Linked DNA regions of Xenopus tropicalis. The protein of the gene in region 5 interacts with the protein of the main gene of each other region in a biochemical or structural test. Links are inferred from orthologs where the notes say so. Each region holds a gene or a part of one and is shown on either strand. Other genes may lie near its edges. The genes, in order: nxf1, nup88, kpnb1, nup155 and nup98.

Region 1 (3,882 bases), on a different chromosome or scaffold from region 5:
TTAAACATTAAAGTCGGCTTTTCACTCTACTGCGCATGCGCCGGCCCACGGATTTCGGCAGCAGCGCGCAAAGGAAGGAGGAAGCGGTGTCTACAGGTGCCCCGGGCTGGTGCTGTTTTCTCCTAACGGGGGCACCAGCCCGGGGTACAAGGTAGGCGTTCTAAGTCACTTGGGGGTGCCTAACATTTTGGTACCCCCAAGTGACTTAACCTTTCCTTCTCCTTTAATAATGTATCAAATTTTAACAGTTGGCAGCGTGACAGAGTGTTATGTCAGACACTGGTAGGAAAATGAAACAAATTCATTTTTAAATTACTGAACTTAAAGAATAGAAAATAGAAGGCACCCATACAAGTCATTATTGTATACAGGTATAGGACCGTTCATCAAGAATGCTTGGGACATGTTCTGGATAAGGGATTTCTCCATAATTTGGGTCTCCATACCTTAAGTCTACTAAAAATCATTTAAACATTAATTTAAAGGACATGTACTGCATATCCTGATTTCCAGGACTGTTTTTCTAAAACAAACGTTGAAAGGCAGCTACATACTTCTAGGCCTTGAGATAAGGAGCAGCTCATTACACAGAGGCTTCTCAGTGGATTGTTTTTTTTTGTTGTCACGCATCAAAGAATGTGATTGAGAAATATTGCCAAAACACTACTAGTCCTGCCCATCTGTTCCACTTTTTTTCTGCCTCCTTTCTCCACCTGTGCAGGAAAGCCAGCGGCACTCGGCACACTGCACTGTAGGTTAGGAACCAATCAGCAGTTAGACTGACCTGAGCTTGTCTTTGCTTGTGTGACTGCAGGACTGTGATTGGCTACTCCCCTCCTACTGTGCATCTGGCAGGGACCATTGGCACACACCCACCCCTCTTTTGAAACACAGACAGGGACTATAGCAGATTTATGGGAAGCTACAATAAAGGGGCAGTTTTAAAGATGATCATTTTTAGCCTAGAGTGACACCAGCACCATATATTTTATTCATTATCATCTACAAGATTGGGGGAGGGGGGGATCACATACACTAGATGTCTACTTAAAAATATGTAAGTGGAAAAAGTTACAAAGCAGTATAAATAGAAAATAATTTAAAAATAGTTTGTCCTATTATTAATGTGGCAGTAATAGTTTAAGAAAAAAAAAGTAGCTAGTTACTGATTTGCACATTAATCATTGTCCTGGAAAAAATATAGAGGCATGGGATCCATTATCCAGAAACCCATTATCCACAAAGCTCTGAATTACATGACGGTCATTCCCATAGACTTTGTTAACCAAATTAAAAATGTTTTACACATTTTCCTTTTTTTTTCCCTCTGTAATAATAAAACAGTAGCTTGTACTTGATCACAACTAAGATAGCATATAGCATTTGTATTTTAAGTACTGCATTAAAAAGTCATCTCAGTATTTCTGCTAAGAGATGCAATAATGGCATTCATTTTAGAATACTGTTGGTATGGCATACATTATTAATGCCACATTGCTATACAATTTGGTAAATGAACTTGCTTTACTCTCTAGTTCAGCAACACATTTCTTTTTTAGAGATTCTGTGCAAAAGCTTTGTATAATGGATTTACATTTATCTTTCATGTCTAAAAGGCTACTTCTGGTAAACGATGAACAGTTCATAAGGAATGCTACCACCGAGGAGATTCGCAAAGCCTTTGCCACACCTGCTCCCACACCTTCCAGTAGCCCAGTGCCAGTCCTGGCACCTGTGCCCCATGATATGGTGCAAGCGTTCATTCAAGTATCTGGCATGAATGCAGAATGGTCTCAGAAGTAAGTTTATCTGTTGGTACAAACAGGTTACATGTTTTTGAATCTGAATGTATTATTACACCTTTAAAAAAAATCTATTTCATTCAGACTCTTTGTCACTTTCTCAAGAATGGGGGTTCACCCTAACAGATATGAAATTTTAATGGGAGATGTTGGGGAGGATGCTTCTAAACTCTGTTAACAGGCAAACTGACTCTCGGGGCACCATGGGGAATCTATTTTCTGTCCAATACAAGAACTAAGCATATTGGGCAATCAGTCCCTAGGACAGAACCTGCCAAAAAACATTTTGCTTACCTGTTGCTAGGGTTTGTAGAGTAGACACCTTTCCACCCTGTTGGTGAAGCTGGGCAGACTGGAAGGCCAAGGGTTTTTTTTTTTTTTCGGTTTTTTTTAAGAGGGCTGGGAATTTTTCTGTAAGGTAGAGGCTCTTTTGCAGGGATGGACAGACAACTAGAGGATGGGTAGAAGGTTGGAGGAGGTAAACTAGAAATGGGGGATTAACATTAAACAGTTTGGTATATAGAGGGCATAACGGGAATATAGGTTATTGCCCTCAAGTCCTTATGTTAGAAGGTGGACAAAACTTCCAAGGCTGTAGGACTGAATTGTGCTGTATTGTATCTAGTGACTGTATCTAGTAACTGTTTCTCATATTGTTTCACTTTATGTATATAAAAAAACTTCAGGAAAGTGAATTTTGATGCTTTTATGCATTATTACCATCCATAGATTGACTAAAAACAGTCCTTATTGGTATTCAACCATCACAGTTCTTATTTCCTAGCCCAGCCTATTCAACCATCACAGTTCTTATTTCTTAGCCCTTTCCAGATCCAAATAAATTTTTAGACGTTAAACAATTGGGCAGAGGGCTGTGTAAAAGGTTCATGTACAGGTGCTGTGTACCACCATGTCTTGTACAGGTGCCCCTTCTCTTGTTTCTCTTGAGCCTGCTGTATTTAATACCTTTCATTTCCTGCTGCGTACCTGCACACTGTCGTTTACTCGTTTACCTGTGTGCCATTGTATACTCATGCCAAGGAACAAGACAATTCAAAAATAAATTGGTAATGCTCACCTTTACCAGGTGCTGACTGCTAGTCCCACTGCCAGGGCTAAAATACATCTGTAAAATCCAGTACGCTGCAGCACTCCGAATCTTTGTGAAAAATGTTTATTGTGCCAACAAAACTGGCAACGTTTCGGGCTCTCGAGCCTGCACACTCCCTTAAATAAATGTGTAAAGAGGGATTGGTAGGACAACCCCACCCTCCCATTTAGGTTCAATTCCTATCATGCTCAGTGAAAAAACCTTTACAATGACAAATAGATGAAGTGTCCATAATCCAATGAGATCCCTATCAAATGTGCAAATGCTCCATAGTCCGTGATCATATTCGTAGTCCATACTTGGTTTAATCAATTCAATATTGTGTGTATCACTTAATTAATAATTAAAATCAATTATTATGCTGAAAAAAACTGGTTACAAATAGAAACTGTTTGCTCATATCTTGGGGTCTGAATATCTACCAGTTAAAACACCAGTCCACCCCAAGGACAAGAGCTAGAGACAAAGAATTTGCTTACTTTATTATTTAACAAGTGTTCTTTACACTTCTCTTTTATCAGGTGTCTTGAGGACAATGGTTGGGACTTCGACCAGGCAGGCCAAATTTTTATGAAGTTAAATGTAAGTAAGCTATAAACTTAAAGATATCCGTCCGCCTAGAAAGTTCCTATCTGTAAGCCTTATTTATTATAAAAATTTAAAAAGCTTTTGTGATGCTGAGGCTGGAAAATAGTTATGCTTTATTGTTATGGTGTTGATAGTGGTGGTTAAAATGCCCTTTACCCACTCTTGACACATTTCTAGTTAACTTGAATGGGAAGTATTATAGGTCTCCCATATCACGCCAATAGGAAGCATACTGTGTGAATGCAGTAAAATGAGACTGGAATCTGTGGCTGGGAAGCTAAGTTGAGCAGGAACGAGCGTGGGCCATTGGTATGCTCTAGTAGTATGGCATTCTCCACTTGTGCAAATTTATTTTTGTGGTGTGACAAAATCGGCTTATAT
Region 2 (4,097 bases), about 72 Mb from region 5:
TATGTGCTGAAGACAGGCTGTAAAAATACAGTTAGATGCGGACAACGCACCCCTTTATGTTAATATATTATTATTAATATTTAATACAGAGGTGTAAAGATTTCTACATAATCTGACAGACTTGAAACCTCACATTACAGGGATGAAATGGCAATCCTTTTTATTGAATAGATCTCTGCAATGTCCAAAAAGATGTACAACCCCTTTAAGGAAAGGTACAATAACAAATCTAACAGTTCACATTAATAGAACAATCTTCCCTCTCCATATCCTTCACTTCTGCACTTCTTGACCTGGTAGGTCAGTAGGGCAACACTACAGTTGCTTTTTACTTTCTTATATGATGCCACACATACAGTAGTACTGGCAGCAGACGTTAACTCCTATTGGCTGTGTCTCCTGTCAGTCTACTGCTTCCTGTGCCTGTGACAGAGTACTGCAAATCTAACATAACAGTCTGTAAAATTTAGGATATGCCGAGTCTGTTTGCCTATGTCATTGCAAATGAGAAATTAACCACTGACCTTTTAATTTATGCAACTGGTTACAGTGCATAAGCAACCAATGAAAAGTAAGGGGTTAAGTTAAATGAACTTAACTTAATATGATGTAGACAGTGATATTCTGAGATAATTTGCAATAGGTCTTTATTTAATTGTTGTGGTTTTTTGAATAACCACACAATTTAAATTATTTTGCTTTTTGTTCAGCAGCTTTCAATTTTGCCAGCTATCTGGTTGCAAGGGCCCAATTTTACCTAGCAGCTAAGCAGTGGTTTAAATGAGAAGCTGAAAGGAACAAAAGAGGGGGTAAATAGAAACATAAGTAATAAAAAGTAACAATAATATTGCAGCCTCACAGTCATACAATTGTATGTGTTTCGGCATAGGGTGGATGCATTAATTATAATAGTTTAATGGGATTATTGAATGGTTCTTTTTAATGCTCATTTAAACAGTTACATACCTTTCTTCTTTGCAATACTGTAGATCTTCTAGCTGTTTTTCTTTCTGAACAATCAACAGTTTAACTCTAATTAGAGAAAAAAATTAGAAAAAATAATTCTTTTTTTTCTCTCTCTCTCTCAAGTTTAGTATAAAAGTAGAACACGCAATGAGAACAAAAGAAAATAAATTGCACAAAATGAGAAACAAATGAAATATATTACCGTCTCTGGATTTCCTCCTTGGCAAGGTCTTGTTTGAGAAGGTATTCTTCACGGAAAACCTGAGTAGCTCTACTTAGAAGCTGTAGACACTCCTCAGGTGGAGGAGAGGAATCTTTGCTTGATGAGCTACAAGATGGCAACATTTTTAGTGTTGTAGAGACCATAGCTTGAAGAAGGACTTAATTGACTGGACAACCAAACTTAAAGTATCAAGGTGGCCTGTAACATAATTTATGTGTGTGGTTCCCCGAACATTAATATACAGGGTGTGATGTATGAGACTTAACAGTTGGGAGTAAGTATCCTTATAAAGACTATATTAAAGAAAACGAACTGCGTAAAATTCTGGTCATGGTCTAACTTCCTATGCCACAACTGTTACACATCATTCATCAGTGAGGTTACCATGAAAGAGAAAACTCACTATTTTATCATCATCTGGTATTCAAACCTGGAAGGTGGAATTCTTAAATTGCCAGAAACTGGCCACTGGGGAGAGCAGCCTTTTTCCTAAGGTGTTTAAGAAGCTAATTTTGAGATTCTGTTCTTCCCCTATTGCTCACCAGCCAGGTATCTTAGCTCAGCGAAAGCACACAAATGTTATAAAGTTTCACTGATCTACATTTTCTACCCCTTACCATGCATTCTACATAAACTTCATGGACAACAGAAAGGCTGAAATGGTCAGTAATGCACCCAACCAAACCGAAATAGGTTCTTCAAGAACCTATTACTCGCATAGATTCTCAAGCCCTGCATTTGATATATTTTTAATTGAATGTCATCCATAATATGCTCAGGGATAGAAGACTGGCCTGTTTGGTGGGTTACCACAATATATAGAATCTGGCTTGTCTTGATGCAGTGTCAAACCTGTTTCTCAGACTTTCATACATGTTGTTTGTTTTGCTTTCTCCGTGTGCTTTACAACAATGGACCAAATTTTCCTAAAAGTTCAGTTCTTGGCTCTTAGATCTTTTACAGAAGTGTGGGCTATTACAAAGGTACCTTGTTGTTAACTCATAAATGATAATGTTCCACCTACTTCAACAACAATGGGTTTGCAGAGTTGCGTCTTAAAATGCCTCTGATGTGCTCTTCAAATGGCCCTTTTACATCTTCTAGGACATGTGGAATGATCTCTGTGGAACTTTTGTCAATCTTAAAGCAAAGAAGAGGTGGAGAGGGTGGTCGAATGGTGGTTCTAGATAAAGAAAAAAAATAAACCATTAATTAGGACATTAATACAGCATGAACCTTACATTTTAAACTATTCTTTTATATGGAAATAATCCTTGGTAGTAAAAGCATATGGAAAAAATAATCAATGTAAATTGCAAGTAGAGCACTCTGAGCAATTTTAAATTAAAGGAAAACTATACCCCCAAACAATGTAGGTCTCTATAAAAATATATTGCATAAACAAGCTCATGTGTAAAACCCTGCTTCATCTAAATACACCATTTTCATAAAAATATACTTTTTAGTAGTATGTGCTATTGGGTAATCCTAAATAGAAAATTGCTATTTTAAGAATTAAGGGCCACCTCCTGGGATCATAGGATTCACAGTTAACACAAACAAGCCAAGGCACCCATACATGCTAGGCCACATCAGCCAATTAATGGACAGAGTTCTGCCTTTTGCTTTTACACTACTTTCTGTTAAAGTTTAAGCTGCATTATTTCTGGTCATGTGATCTCTGAGAGAATATATATATATATATATATTTATATTACACACACACACGCACTTTGGAAGTGAAGTGAACTTTTCGTCTATCACAAAACAAAACATTTAAGGCTCCAATACTCATTAAGGCCTTTACATTGGAGCATTAAACACTGTAGCACGTAGCACTGACAAAGACCCAGGAGGATTGAAACATGTGCGGACAATAAATGCACTTTTTTTTTTTGGCACCTTTTCTGCTTAATAGCCCAATTCTTGCTACTTTAATTTGTTTTTTTTATTGGAAGTTGCACCTGTGGCAGAGGTGCATACAAGGAAACCACTGAACTATACTGCTTCCTTGTTCAAAGGTATCAGTCACCTAAAACTCTTTTGTGCATAGAAAATTTTTGGTGTGCTGACAAAAATACTTTGTGCCTGGTGTCACAATTTTAATGCACACACAAACATGTTGTTTTGCTGTCGCCGATGCTGGCAACATATTTTTATTTAATATCAAACATCTACATTAAAACGCGAATGTGGTTTGCCATTAACCTCCTTCTTCAGGACTACACCTGTTTAGAGGAATGTACACAGTTCTCCACCCCGCCTAATAGCTGTACATTAAACAAAATAAAGAGAGTTTCTTTGTACTTTTCTCTGCAGGTAAATCACAATATAAAATTTCACAAAAGGTGTTCTGGTGTTGTCTTTGCAACAATTATGAAATGCAATTAAAAACATAGCTACATCAAAATCAATGTAAACACTTCCAAAAAACCCAGTTTCATTCTCATTACGTTGCAAATACATACAGCAATGGCCTTGCAATACACTCAAAGTCACATGTAATGCATATCATCGAGGTGCCAAGTGAAAGATCTGAGATGATCCAAAAGCCTTGAATAGGAGACGGCAGCCTACAGTAGTGAACAGAATACAGAAAAAGAAAATACACTGGCTATTAACACAATTTATTATCAAGCAGACTACAAGCTGAGAGTGATCAAGTTAACGAGGAATATTTGAATATTTTAACGAAAATTGTTGATGCATTGTACAGGTCCCAAGATAGTAGTCAGAAACAGTGGATGGTTGCTGGGTGTGTAGCTGTTTAAAACAGGGCTGTCAGGGCATCCACATTAAGCAAAATGAGAGGCATGACAAGAATGGAAATGCTCCAACAGCATAACAATAACTGTCCTTTATCAGCAACGCAGCATTATTTTAAAGTAATTAATTCAGAAAGAGCTGT
Region 3 (4,795 bases), on a different chromosome or scaffold from region 5:
AGGGAGCCTTGCCAGCAGGACTAGACTAAGATCAAAAATAATGCCCTGTCAGTTAAGCTACACAGACTCAAACAGGACCAATAACATCCTATTTGCAGCCCCTAAAGTACTGGCCAGTTGTTCTGTCAGAAGAAAATCTGATGATTGTTGGAATAGAGCGGACACCGCTGCAGATTCACTCATTAGCACAATCAGTCAAATGAGGCAAAGTATCTTGCTATTCAAATAGAATCCTGCCCATACAGCACAGACTTGTTTTGCAGTTATCTGACTGACTTATATAAGCGCTACCTTTTGTCCAATCTCTACCTTTTCACTTAACATACACAACACTTCTAATTTTTCGTAGCCAATTGGGCAGGTCAGACATTTAACTGGCTGATCCAACAAGGGACCAGAAATTGGATCATTCTGTGTGACCTAAGGAGACATCAACATGCTGGACAATTTTCAGGGAAAACTTTATTTGGGTAGGTCTCTTGAGGACACCATATACAGACCAAGAAGGGCAGCGGGACACAGTGAGATTAGTCGCCCCGCGACAAATCTTCATTGTTATGGGCGACTAATCCCCCGCAATGCCATCCCACCAGCTAGAATGTAAATCGCCGGCAGGATGGAATACGCATTTCTGCAATGTCCCGAAATCGGCCGAAATTGTCTTGAAAGGAAACTTTGGGACACTGCAGCGACGCATATGCCATCCCACCGGCGATTTACATTCTAGCCAGTGGGATGGCATTGCCGGGAGATTTGACACTGGCCAATTAATCTCCACGTGTGCCACTGCCCTAAGTGGATAAACTGATCTAAAAGTCAGTAGCTTTTTTTTTTAGCCTATGCAAGGCCACTTTAAGTGATTGTTATTATAAAAACAAAGTGACATGGAGGTAAGAGATGAATTCTGGCATGAGGAAAGGTACATGATGGTTCTATTAAACCAGTGGTGCCCAGATTTTGTCACTCTGTGATCTACTCTTCCCACCTGGCCTCAGTCATGAGCTCTACCACAGTTAAAATAGTGCAACGTCTATCATTTGGCACAATAAGCAACAGAAATATCAATGGATGTTTAACAAATACACATAGCAATATATAAATGCAGTGCCAAATTCACATTTAATGCCCACATAACATTATTCACGTGCCAACTTCAAGTTTAATGTGAAAGGATTGTAGTAGTTTTTACTTCCCTTCCTTATGGCCCACTTTGTAGTCTGCACACAGAAACATATATGAAGTGGGAACAAATATATACAGTGGCCCAGTGGGGACAATCTTCTATACTGGGATGAAACTACAAAGACGGCTTGAGCAGTCGCACTTGAAAGCTTCAGTATGCTGGGGGGGGGGGGGGGGGAAGTGGCGGGATGTCATCCCACTGCATTCCACCTTGAGGTCTACCGGTAGACCGTGATCTACCTTTTGTGCACCCCTGTATTAAACCCTGCCCCCCACCCCCAGCCTGGTCTTTGCCAAGTAAAGATGGCAGCCATTGGCACCACTTGTTTCCCGAGATCCTTTCCTAACATTTCAAAAACTTAAAGGAACAGTAACACCAAAAAATGAAAGTGTTTTAAAGTAATTGAAATATAACGTACTGTTGCCCTGCACTAGTAAAACTCGGGTGTTTGCTTCAGGAACACTACTATATTTTATATAAATACACTGCTGAGTAGCCCTGGGGGCAGCCATTCAAGCTGGAAAAAAGTCACAGGTTACATAGCAAATAACAGATAAGACACCATTGTATTCTACAGAGTTTATCTGTTAGCTGCTATATAACCTGTGCCTTTTCTTCTTTTGAATGGCTGCCCCCATGGCTACACACCAGGGTTTATATAAACTCTAGTAATGTTTCTGAAGCAAACATACAATTTTTACCAGGGCAGCAATACAGTATAGTTTAATTTCTTGAAAATATATACATTTTTTTGGTGTTACTGTTCCTTTAAGCGCAGGTCAGTTTTGAAGAAAACAGTAACATGTCAGCTTCATGGCAAAGCAATACAAAACATTTGGTACTTAGAGAATACCTTGAAACAGGAAGCAAGCATTTAGTTTGCAGGGTTTAACGACATTTATTGCAATACAAGGAAGCTCACAATGACAGGAATGTGGCATGTCACACTGCACCTACACTGAGTTCTGTACATTCTCCAAGGACTGCAAAAAAATGCAATTTGTCAGCACAGGAAAATCACACAACACGCACAGAGCAGCCCAAATGCGACATCATGCGATGCCACAAGGAGCCCCATTAGCCCCACATAGCTGTGCAACGCAACGTGCTTTACCACCGCCCCCCTCGCCGCTCCCTCTTCTCGCTTTCTCATTGGCCGAATTAGACCCGGCTAAATGGCTCCGCGCCTCCCCATTGGCTAGCGCAGGGTGGCGGGCAAGTTAGGCTGCGCCAGTCTTGGCGCTTTTCACTGAGGCCTGGCCGGGCACCACAGCGCTAGCCATTTCAGAACAGCTGGCGACCTACTGGCAGTGGCAGTCCCAGCAATTCCCGGCTTCCTATGTGCTGCGGGGGTTATCAGAGAACGATTACCCCCCAGGCCTAATAAGTCCAAATAAACTCCCAGCATGCCCCCTGCCAGCTTGGTGGCTACTTTGATAGTGGGACTCTTTTTATAAGTGTCGCTGTTTCCTGCATGCGTTTAATGTAGTGGGAGAGCCGGCACGGCCAACCTAAGGCTCCGTGTGGCTGTCATGGTGCCTCCCTACCCGGCTTCCTTCTCAAGCCCAACTTCTATCATTTCTCACCAGATTCTCGACTGCAGCTTGCTCCAGGAACTTCTGCGCCGCCTCCAACTCATTGCGGTCTGAGGGAAAAGAAGGGTAGACATGGGTTCAGGGCCCTGCCGCTCTATTGGGGATCCCCATGCATTTCCCTGCTGCCCCCCTCCCCTCACTGTTATCCCACACAATAATACCCCCAATAACCAGCCGCCCGTACCCGGAGACACGGTCTTTTCGAGGATGGTGACGAGCTCCATGCGGGCGGTGCCGGGTCACAGAGCTCAGGCGGGCTGCCGGAGTGAGCAAGCGTGGCGCGGAGGGATTCGAGCGCGCTTGTGTCAGAGGGAAGAATGGGGCTGAGGAGGTGTGGCTCTGCTGCGCACGGATATCTGCCGGATCTAGTTGTACGTCCCGGAAACCTATTGGTTGTTGTGAGGGGACTTGCTGCGCCTAAGGAGTGCCGCTAAGGGTTGTGGGGGAGAGGGGGTGCGTCCTATTAGGTAGAGCCAATGAAAGGGCGGGCCCATTAGCCAAGTCCTCACACTGTGGGGTGAGAGTGTTCCCTTTCCGTACTGAGTCATTATTACACTATGGCGAGCTGAAGGGTAGTTGAAAAGTACGATACTTTTTATTTTATTGTAGAAATGGAAAAGGCGACTGCTGCTGTGGTTAGAGCTCCCCAAAGGCATTCTGGGTGTTGTAGTCTTTCAACAGCTGAAAGAGAAGTTTAGCGCTTCCAATCTGCTTAGTCATGTGGCCGCCGCTCGGCAGGCTGTAGTGCTAGCAGCGCAGCTTTACTGAGCCCAAGTCATTGGATGGCTTTGTACAAACCACGACAGATGTTTAGTGGCAGGAAATAGAAAAAATGCACCAAAAAAAAGAGCTGGATTAAAAAACAGTCATTTTTATTCAATCCTATATGTAAAAACCTATATGTACAGCCATGGAGCTACGCTTAACGCGTTTCATGGCCTCAGAAGCATTATCAGCCCGTAAGTGGGAGGGGCTTATATAATCCAACTAGTCAAAAGACTAGTTGGACTATATAGACCAGGGGTCTCAAACTCGCGGCCCTCAGTACAGTATTTTGTGGCCCGCACCAACGCCTTCTCAAAAGCAACGAATGGATCGCGATTTTTATTGCGATTCAAGGGATAATGCAAGGCACGGCGGGCGGGAGCTGCTGATTGCGGAAATGACATTATGCCATCATAACAGTTATTATGGGAAGACATTCTGTGTGCACAGCTGCTAAGGAGCTAATTGTGCACACAGAACATCTTCCCATAATAACTGTTATGGCATAACGTCATTTCCGCAATCAGCAGCTCCCGCCGTGCCTTGCATTATCCCTTGAAAGCCAATTTTTTGTGAAATCCCTTATGCGGCCCAGCCTCATCCTGACTTTGCCTCCTGCGGCCCCCAGGTAAATTGAGTTTGAGCCCCCTGATATAGACTACATGAACCCTTACACACCACACAATATACATAAAAGAAGTACAAATAAGGATAGCAAAATAGAAATACTTATAGTTAGGAGGACCCAAATATAATGGAGGGAGAATCAAAAAGTTAACCCCATTTATACAATTCTCAATAGAAACAGGATAACTCCCATTCCCTATTCATCCCACCCTGGAACTCCAGGGAATTCAAGTTATAGATCCAAAAAGCCTCTTGCCTTAACAGTCTCCTCTCTAGATCCTTATCTGAAAAGATGGCCTGTCAATAATCTGAAAAGTAAAATGTGCGTTACCGTCATGTTTCTTCAAAATACGTTTGGACATTGCTGATCTTAAGGGCAGTAACACACAGGTAGATTAGACGCGCCTTGAGAGGAAACTTCGGGCGACATTGCGGCGCCACGTATGCCATCCCACCAGCAATTTACATTCTAACCGGTGGGATGGCATTATGGGGAGATTAGTTGCCCGTGAGAATGGAGATTTGTCGCGGGGCGACTAATCTTCCCGTGTACCCCTGCCCTAAGTCTCCTGTCTCTAAAGAGTCCAGAATGCATTTAGATACATTCCATATGGTCTTCCCCACA
Region 4 (4,097 bases), on a different chromosome or scaffold from region 5:
TCAACCTGTTGACTTATTTTTTGATACTCTTTTAATGACTCTCGTAGCATTCTCTCCTTTTCCAGTTTGTTTGGAACATGGCGGGATCTTTGCAAAAGTTCATTTGCCTGGAAAATAAAATTAATTTGTAGCGAATTTCAATTTATATTGTTAGATGGCAAATTGATCAATTGCACATAACGTATATAAAGGCCTTTTTAATACATAGTCTTTGCAAACATTGCATCTCCTGATTTTTACCTTTGAGCACACTGCATCGTCAGTGCTGTACAGAAGAGGACACACTTCTTGAAGTCGGTAACTAACTCCATCCACTGATGCGTTGTCTTGGATGTAGCAATTGATCAAAGATGCGGTAAGAGCCCCCGCCAGCTCTTTGTCTCTGATCACAAGATCTTTAAAAGTGGTTATCTTCAGCTGCTCCTGGAGTTCCTGTGTGTAAGAACACAGACATTCAGTTTCTGTCCAAGGAACTCAATAGCTTTTTTTAAGTGAGAACTGAAGCCTAAAAAAAGAATATGGCTAAAAATGCTATATTTTATATACTTTTTCTTACTGTGCCAGCCTAAAGTTTCAGCATCTCAATAGCAGCAATGATCAAAGGCCTTCACTTGTCACAGGAGCTCCCCATCTTGAAAAGTGTCTGACACTTACGTGCTCAGTGTGCTTCGAGGAGCTGTTGAGAAGCTGAGCTTAGGGGTTGTCGCAAATTACCAACCAGAAAATGAGGTTGGCCTGTCATATAAGCTGATGCTACAGGGCTGATTATTGAATTCTAATGCTAATTGCACTGGTTTCTGAGCTGCTAAGTAGTAATTGTCTGAATTACTACTTAGCCTTATATTGTGACATTTATGTTCTATATATACACAGTATATAGTGAGTGGGTCCCTAAGCTCAGGTTATACTGTGACATTTATATTGTATATATACAGTATATAGTGAGTGGGTCCCTAAGCTCAGGTTATACTGTGACATTTATATTGTATATATACAGTATATAGTGAGTGGGTCCCTAAGCTCAGGTTATACTGTGACATTTATATTGTATATATACAGTATATAGTGAGTGGGCCCCTAAGCTCAGGTTATACTGTGACATTTATATTGTATATATACAGTATATAGTGAGTGGGTCCCTAAGCTCAGGTTATACTGTGACATTTATATTGTATATATACAGTATATAGTGAGTGGGCCCCTAAGCTCAAGTAAGTGACAGCAGCACAGAGCATGGGCAGGGAATCAGCAGAAAAGAAGATGGGGGGCTACTGGGGCATCTTGGGGGGCACCGATTCCCTGCTAAAGGGCTGTGGTTGCCTTGGGCTGATACAGAAGCACAAAACATAATGTACAACATTTCTGCCCTACTTCTTTAGTTCTTCTTTAAGATGCATTAGAGCAAGAGCACATGTAAGCAAACCCAAGCATGGGCTGGTTCTCCCAGATGTTGCTGCTCCCAACACTCTTCAGACAGGGACTAAAGCCACAAAAAATAAACACAAACCTTTTGTAGATCTGAAACAATGAGGCTAAACTGATGTTCACACAGTAGCTTCCACAAAGCAAGAGCTTGGCACATTTTCCTAACCAGCTGATGGATCCCCTGGAGAGATAACTGTTCTGCAAGCTGAGCTTCAGCTGTTGAAAGGAAAAGATTGTTAGCATAATTATTTACAAATACATGTTTAGGCTAATGTGTTCTGCTTATTCATTTATCTTGCTTGATAACACAGTACACTTGGGCATATACACCTTTGATCTTAACTTGCCTTTCATTCCTTGGCCAAGGGGAAAGTAATAGTGAACAAATTTTGCCATTTAATATAATAGGCATCCATTGTGTATTTAAGATGTTGCATAATCAAAAACTGTGTTGCAATTCATCTATTACAAGCTACTGCCAAGCTATACAATAATTTTTAAGGCTTGTTGCTGCCCAAAAGCTCTCCTCTGTAAAGGCGGCTATACATGGGCTGACCCAAATGGTACCCTACCAATCAGCCTGCGGGATCGATGAGTGGCTATACAAGAACGTGAAGTGGAGCTCTTTTGGGCAACAAATAATTCTAATTATGATTATCTACCACAGTGCTGTCCAACTTCTGCGGTGCCGAGGGCCGGAATTTCTCTAGCATACATGGTGGAGGGCCGCTAATGGAAGCCAGTTTTGACCACTCCCCCATTTTAAACCACACACACTTCAAACCACACCCATTTTATCACAATGGTCGCTGCAGGGATATCAACCATCTTTCATATGTTAAAGAATTATATTATGTCATATTAAGACACACCCTTAAATCCATATGCCTTCTCCCCTGTGGATAGCACAGCAACCCCCAGCATATAATTACACACCTTAGGGACCATTTAATGGCTATTTCCAACTGCTAACAAACTCTCAGAACAAACCCCTGCCAGGTTCACCTCCCACAGGCAGCATAGGGTAGGCAGAGTATGGCACACACAGGCAGCACTCTGCCTGCCATACTCTGCCTGTCCTATGCTGCCTGTGGGTGCCATACCCTCCCTGCCCTATGCTGCCTATACACAGGCAGTATAGGCCAGGCAGTACATACGTCTGAGGTGTGAAGAGGTGAACAATGTGGGTGATTATAGCCTAGGCCTGAGCCTGAGGTGTGAACACTGCAGGGGGTAAACAATGCAGAGATTAAAAGGTGTGAACAACACAGGGGATTACAGTTTTAAACAATACAGGGGGATTACAGCCTGAATCTGAGGTGAGAACCATGCAGGGGGCCAGTTAATCATAGTACTGATACAAAGTTAAGCCATCAAAGCAGCCAGACAGGTGGGGGGCCACACAGAGGGGGGTCGAGGGCCGCATGCGGCCCGCGGGCCGCCAGTTGGACAGCACTGATCTACCAGGACAGATATTCCACTATCCAGCAGGATAAAAAGATTATCTGCTCAAATGGTACCCCAACCTGCCATACATTCCCAGATGGACAGGAAGTATGGTCTATCTCAGCCAAACTATCCAACCAAAACGGAGCATGTATGGCTACCTTATACATGAAAGCAGCAGGGGGTAGGGTCTAACAATTGTGGCCAGCAAGTAATGGTGGATCATTGCAAATCCACAATAGAAAGCAATCCCTCAACCTTTGCTCACAACCTGTACAGAGAGATTCCACTAAACTAGAGGCAGCATAGATATCCCCCTGAACTAAATGGAAATAAATATTAGGGCTGAGTATAATTTAAGGATGTAACATAAATACTGGTAAATCTTTCACACTTATTTTAGTGTCCCAGGCAACTTACTGTGGTATTTTCTTTGGAGTTCTTGTTGGGCTTGCTGTGAACTGCCAGAGTCAGGCCGGCCCAGGCCCACAAGTCGCTGCTGACGATTTGCAGGTGTACCAAAGCTGCAGCATGGGGGGGGGGGGGGGGGGGTTCAAATATTATAGTCATGGCTATACAATATATGTAGCAATGCAAGTATAAAAAGAGGGAATGCTGCATTAGCTGAGGGATTATGTAACCCATGGAACATTAAATGCATATAAAAGTCACTGATGAGCACTGGATCCACACACAGATACAGAACCGCGGGCAGTTATACAATCATAAAACTCAGTTACTTCTTATATGCTTTTGATAGACAGAAGTATTATGTTTTTCACTGCAACAGTTTAGTGTATATTTTAGGTCTTACTAATCCCTTATCTGAAAATGTAAAGTAAAAAACATATACTAGGCAGAGAAAACAACAGTTTATGGTGTCTCTATATACTAGACAGAGAAGATAATACACCCTACACCTACACTAATCAAGCGAGGCTGTGCGGTTATCTGTGTACACTTAATCATAGGCTTCTATATTCTTCTATACTTCTATTTCTCACATTAAACTTCAGTGGTCTTATATGTTCCCTACTGCAGGGTTGTTGGGAATTAAAGGGTTGTTCACCCACTTTTAATATGATGTAGCGAATATTCTGAGAATTTGCAATTGGTCATTTTTCATTATTTATAGTTTAATTATTTCAGTTTTTGTTCAGCAGCTCTCCCATTTGGAGTTTCAACAGTGATTTGGTTGCTAGGATCCAAATTACCTTAGCAACCAG
Region 5 (4,663 bases):
TTAAAGTTACCTCCAAGGTGAACAGCCCCCTTAATGCCTCGCACAGCCTTTGCAGTGCCTGCAACAATCCTGCAAAAATCACAGCTGTCAATCATCTATTGTCTGCCCCGCCTCTAATGCATAGAGGCGGGGCATCCAATTACTTAAACTTTCCCCCTCCCTCTTCACCATGAATCGGTGTAGCCAGTGCATGGGCATCAGGCCCCCCATTCTGGCACATACACAAGATTTTGGGGTGATACTGTAATTCCATGACTGAAGGAAGCAAGAGATTTACACAAATGCTACTCAACATATAGAATAAAAGGAACTACCAGGTGCAGAAACCCTTAGCAACCAAAATCTTGTTTGCCCAGTAAATGCTGCCTGCTGATTGGCTGCTCTAGGGGGATTACCAGCATGAAACTTTGAACCTTTTATGACATTTCCCCATATGTTCCCTATAAACACAAAGCAGCAGAATACAACCGCTGAGAATGTATACGGGGTGTATATATCTATATATTCACACAAACACAATACTGTCCGTTAATGAACGTATGAATTATATACATAATCTTTATACCATTGCTCCCAAGTACCCAGAGCGCATACAAACCTGCCAGTCTTATACCCATTCCTGGGACTATAACCCCAAACTGTCCAATATACATTCATTCCACATTATCCCCAGTTAAATATAAATGTGTTTGCCACTGAATGGAGTATGTGTCTGGCCATTTATATTCACTGCACTACTGGTTCTGAAGCATGAAACAATGAAGCAAAAGCTGATTATCTGAAATACCACAAGCTAACAATTAGCTACAATATATATTACTTGTGGACTACTTAGAGAAACGCTACCGATGTGAAACAGTTAAAACCTGCCAAGCCAAAATATAAATAAAGCCAAACGTAACTCATTCCCCAAACACTTCACCCCCAAATCCCCCCCTAACTGGCCTTCAGGCTGGGCCCCCTTAGCCCATAACAAGGTTACAGATATATAGAAACATTGGGGTAACAGTCACCCTGCTATAGTTCCAGGGGTACCCAGGGCACAAATAAGCACTCACCCCAAATCCCCCCCTAACTGGCCTTCAGGCTGGGCCCCCTTAGCCCATAACAAGGTTACAGATATATAGAAACATTGGGGTAACAGTCACCCCGCTATAGTTCCAGGGGTACCCAGGGCACAAATAAGCACTCACCCCAAATCCCCCCCTAACTGGCCTTCAGGCTGGGCCCCCTTAGCCCATAACAAGGTTACAGATATATAGAAACATTGGGGTAACAGGCACCCCGCTATAGTTCCAGGGGTACCCAGGGCACAAATAAGCACTCACCCCAAATCCCCCCCTAACTGGCCTTCAGGCTGGGCCCCCTTAGCCCATAACAAGGTTACAGATATATAGAAACATTGGGGTAACAGTCACCCCGCTATAGTTCCAGGGGTACCCAGGGCACAAATAAGCACTCACCCCAAATCCCCCCCTAACTGGCCTTCAGGCTGGGCCCCCTTAGCCCATAACAAGGTTACAGATATATAGAAACATTGGGGTAACAGTCACCCCGCTATAGTTCCAGGGGTACCCAGGGCACAAATAAGCACTCACCCCAAATCCCCCCCTAACTGGCCTTCAGGCTGGGCCCCCTTAGCCCATAACAAGGTTACAGATATATAGAAACATTGGGGTAACAGTCACCCCGCTATAGTTCCAGGGGTACCCAGGGCACAAATAAGCACTCACCCCAAATCCCCCCCTAACTGGCCTTCAGGCTGGGCCCCCTTAGCCCATAACAAGGTTACAGATATATAGAAACATTGGGGTAACAGTCACCCCGCTATAGTTCCAGGGGTACCCAGGGCACAAATAAGCACTCACCCCAAATCCCCCCCTAACTGGCCTTCAGGCTGGGCCCCCTTAGCCCATAACAAGGTTACAGATATATAGAAACATTGGGGTAACAGGCACCCCGCTATAGTCCCAGTTCTTACAAAAGAAATACATTACCTGAGAGAGGAGATGGAATGCTCTTGAACAGATTCAGGGCCCTGGAAAAAACACAAAAACAAAAGTGACTAATAAGGTTGAGTTATGAAAACATTTACAGTAAAACAAAGTGGTGGAAGTACTCTGAGTATTATATGAGATTCCCTGTATGGGGAAAGCCTCCTTATCTGTAAGCACAAGACACAGGAAACAGAGAGAGGGGCCTGACTGGGGCAGTACATTAGGACACGCCCATGTGGGGCAATAGAAACAAACACATTAGGGGACAGAGACGTAGGCAGCGGTGCGACAGACGCAGCAGAGAAACCTATGGAGGCTGCAATGGCACAGAGAGGGGAGACCCCAAACTGTCACTATCAGAGGGGAGGGGTTTCATTGGGGACACTGCATTGGGGATCCCAGGCCCGTCAGTAACCAAGAGAACCCAGCAGCACCGGAACCAGGCGGAACATAGTCCTGTCACTAACCAGAAACCGGTAGCAACCGGCAGCAAGCGGAAATGTGGAACTCAGTCCTGCCCTGGATATGGGAAGCAGTGACTGGGTATCAGGTTTAATCGCCCCCCACACATGGAAGTGGAACATTCCGGAGAAGGTTAGGCAATAAGGCGGACTGTTCCACCGCACTACAGCGGGAGGGGGCGGCTCACACCTCCCACTAATCCCCATGCGCTCCACACCTCAGCCCGACGCTCTCTCCCCGCCTACCTGCCCGCGGCCTCCAGACACCAGCGCCCCCAACCAAAAGCTCAGCTCGTACGCGCCCAACACAGCAGTAGATGAAAACGCTTTCCCCAGACTCTCCGGTACCGGCAGTCACGCTCCCGTCACGCAAGGGAGCTAAAGTGCGTCATCCAGCGATATGGCGCTGGCGTCAGGGGTAGAACGTCAGATCTGAGCCCCGCCCCCGTCAAACGCTCGATGGGATTGGCCGCTTCCTATGCCAGTCAAACAAAGGTCGGGACTACTTTACGCGCCCTTCATAACGATTGGCTGAGCGGCGGGACCCTATGGCGTGCGCGGCTCTGCTCACGTGATGGTTAGTCAGTACGTGACTCATTCCTGCGCTCTCAATTAAAACTCGCAGACTGAGTCGGGATGTTTATTGGTTTTAGGAGAGATGCAATTCTATTCACGTCTCAGGACAAAATGACACGCATAGTAAAGCTTTAGATTCGCGGTCCCGCAAGTTATGTGGAGAGCGGCGCGCAAGGAATAGAAGAACTGGATTGGCTATGCTGTTAGCCAATGGGTATGAAAGGGGCGGGGACGAGCGTCCCGCTACTCTTTTAAAAATCGCTCCTTGGAAATGTAATGGTGCGCGCTCCCGCTAGATATGGCGTGCAAGCGCATGGTGTCATGGTCCGGTGGGCGGGACTAGTAACTTTTTTCCCTCCTGGGCGGGACTAGTGGCTTCCAAGCAGTGGGGCGGGCCCTGTAGTGACTTGGATTGGGGCCCAGCCTGAGGGGCAGTTATAGTTAGTTTGGGGAGGGTACATATGGGCTACAGGGGTATTACAGGCTCTTCCCCCCAAAACTATGCCCCCCCTCCATGATGCTGATTCCCCTGGGTATTGTCTGAGGTGATTGCTTCTAGGCCCATTGACTGACTCCCCTTAATCTTCCTGTCCAATTACAGCTCAGCTAGGGCAGGAGGTGTGGCCTACATAGTAACATAGTAAGTTGGGTTGAAAAAAGACATCCATCCATCACGTTCAACCATAGTGCCTATATTCTTGGCATTAAGACTAATAAGTCAAATGGGGGGGGTTAAACTATGGGAAACCATTATGAGCCCAAAATGTGGGATATTTGTACTTGCAGCCAATGAGGGAGCCTGTTAGTCAGACAGCTGGATCACTGGGGGCCCCTGTGTATATGGAAAGCCTGGGTCACAAAACAAAAGAGCAGTTACCTGCCAACATTTTGAAAACGGAAAGAGGGACACACACCCCCAGGTGATTTAAAGTTTGATCACATTTCTGGGGGTTTGGGGGGGTCCTGTTTTATGTGTTATTCCAGTTTTGCTGAAAAAGGTGAAGTTGGCCTTTAGGCTGTGAGTCTCCATTCCCCCAAGAAACCTGTTTAGCTTATTAGTTACACTTGTATCTCAGTGCAGGGGGGGGGGCTTTTTACCTTTCTGGGCTCTCTGCCAAAAGCTACTTATTTAATTAAACATGAGAAACACTGTATCTAAGTGCAGGTGATGCTTGTTACGAATTCTGGGCTCTCTGCCAAAAGGTACTTTTGTTAATTAAGTTTGAGAAACATTGTATCTTTTTAGCTTCAGTGCAGGAGATCAAAGGGAAATGAGGGACTTTTCACAGTTGGGAGGTATGGAGTTATCTATCCAGCTTCCCAGTCACCCCCTGCCCCTGTGTAGCAAAGCCCTGTTAGTCTTCCTCAATACAGTGAGGGGGTGCCGGCAAGCTGCTGGTGGCCCCTGTGGAGACAATCACCATGGGTTGCTGCATTATGTATTAAAAATAAAGTGCCTGGGGAAATAGTAATTGGTTATGAACTGGCACCCCTAGTGGCTCAGGCTTTCTTTGCCCTTTAAAAGGGTTAACAGTTAACTTTTAATATGATGCGGAGAGAAATATTCTGAGACAATTTGCAGTTGGTCTTCATTTATTACTATTTGTAGTTTTTTAATTATTGTTCAGC

Evidence for each region.
Region 1: the proteins of nup98 (region 5) and nxf1 form a complex in vitro, tested with the Homo sapiens proteins (5 studies listed by BioGRID and IntAct). The link is inferred for Xenopus tropicalis from reciprocal best matches to the Homo sapiens genes NUP98 and NXF1.
Region 2: the proteins of nup98 (region 5) and nup88 form a complex in vitro, tested with the Homo sapiens proteins (2 studies listed by BioGRID). The link is inferred for Xenopus tropicalis from reciprocal best matches to the Homo sapiens genes NUP98 and NUP88.
Region 3: the proteins of nup98 (region 5) and kpnb1 form a complex in vitro, tested with the Homo sapiens proteins (3 studies listed by BioGRID). The link is inferred for Xenopus tropicalis from reciprocal best matches to the Homo sapiens genes NUP98 and KPNB1.
Region 4: the proteins of nup98 (region 5) and nup155 form a complex in vitro, tested with the Homo sapiens proteins (2 studies listed by BioGRID). The link is inferred for Xenopus tropicalis from reciprocal best matches to the Homo sapiens genes NUP98 and NUP155.

What each region holds. Positions count from the first base shown.
Region 1 is NC_030680.2:36,497,747-36,501,628, reverse strand, and holds part of nxf1 (nuclear RNA export factor 1), read left to right. Parts: intron 1-1,616; coding exon 1,617-1,799; intron 1,800-3,434; coding exon 3,435-3,495; intron 3,496-3,882.
Region 2 is NC_030678.2:105,073,289-105,077,385, forward strand, and holds part of nup88 (nuclear pore complex protein Nup88), read right to left. Parts: intron 3,763-4,097; coding exon 3,658-3,762; intron 2,373-3,657; coding exon 2,214-2,372; intron 1,295-2,213; coding exon 1,169-1,294; intron 1,033-1,168; coding exon 967-1,032; intron 1-966. UniProt on the Homo sapiens protein: Component of nuclear pore complex.
Region 3 is NC_030686.2:10,834,359-10,839,153, forward strand, and holds the start of kpnb1 (importin subunit beta-1), read right to left. Parts: upstream 3,193-4,795; 5' UTR 3,003-3,192; coding exon 2,963-3,002; intron 2,829-2,962; coding exon 2,770-2,828; intron 1-2,769.
Region 4 is NC_030677.2:197,771,298-197,775,394, reverse strand, and holds part of nup155 (nuclear pore complex protein Nup155), read right to left. Parts: intron 3,396-4,097; coding exon 3,292-3,395; intron 1,642-3,291; coding exon 1,508-1,641; intron 433-1,507; coding exon 241-432; intron 108-240; coding exon 1-107.
Region 5 is NC_030678.2:177,463,337-177,467,999, forward strand, and holds the start of nup98 (nuclear pore complex protein Nup98-Nup96), read right to left. Parts: upstream 2,944-4,663; 5' UTR 2,705-2,943; intron 2,039-2,704; 5' UTR 1,998-2,038; intron 1-1,997. UniProt on the Homo sapiens protein: Plays a role in the nuclear pore complex (NPC) assembly and/or maintenance. NUP98 and NUP96 are involved in the bidirectional transport across the NPC. May anchor NUP153 and TPR to the NPC.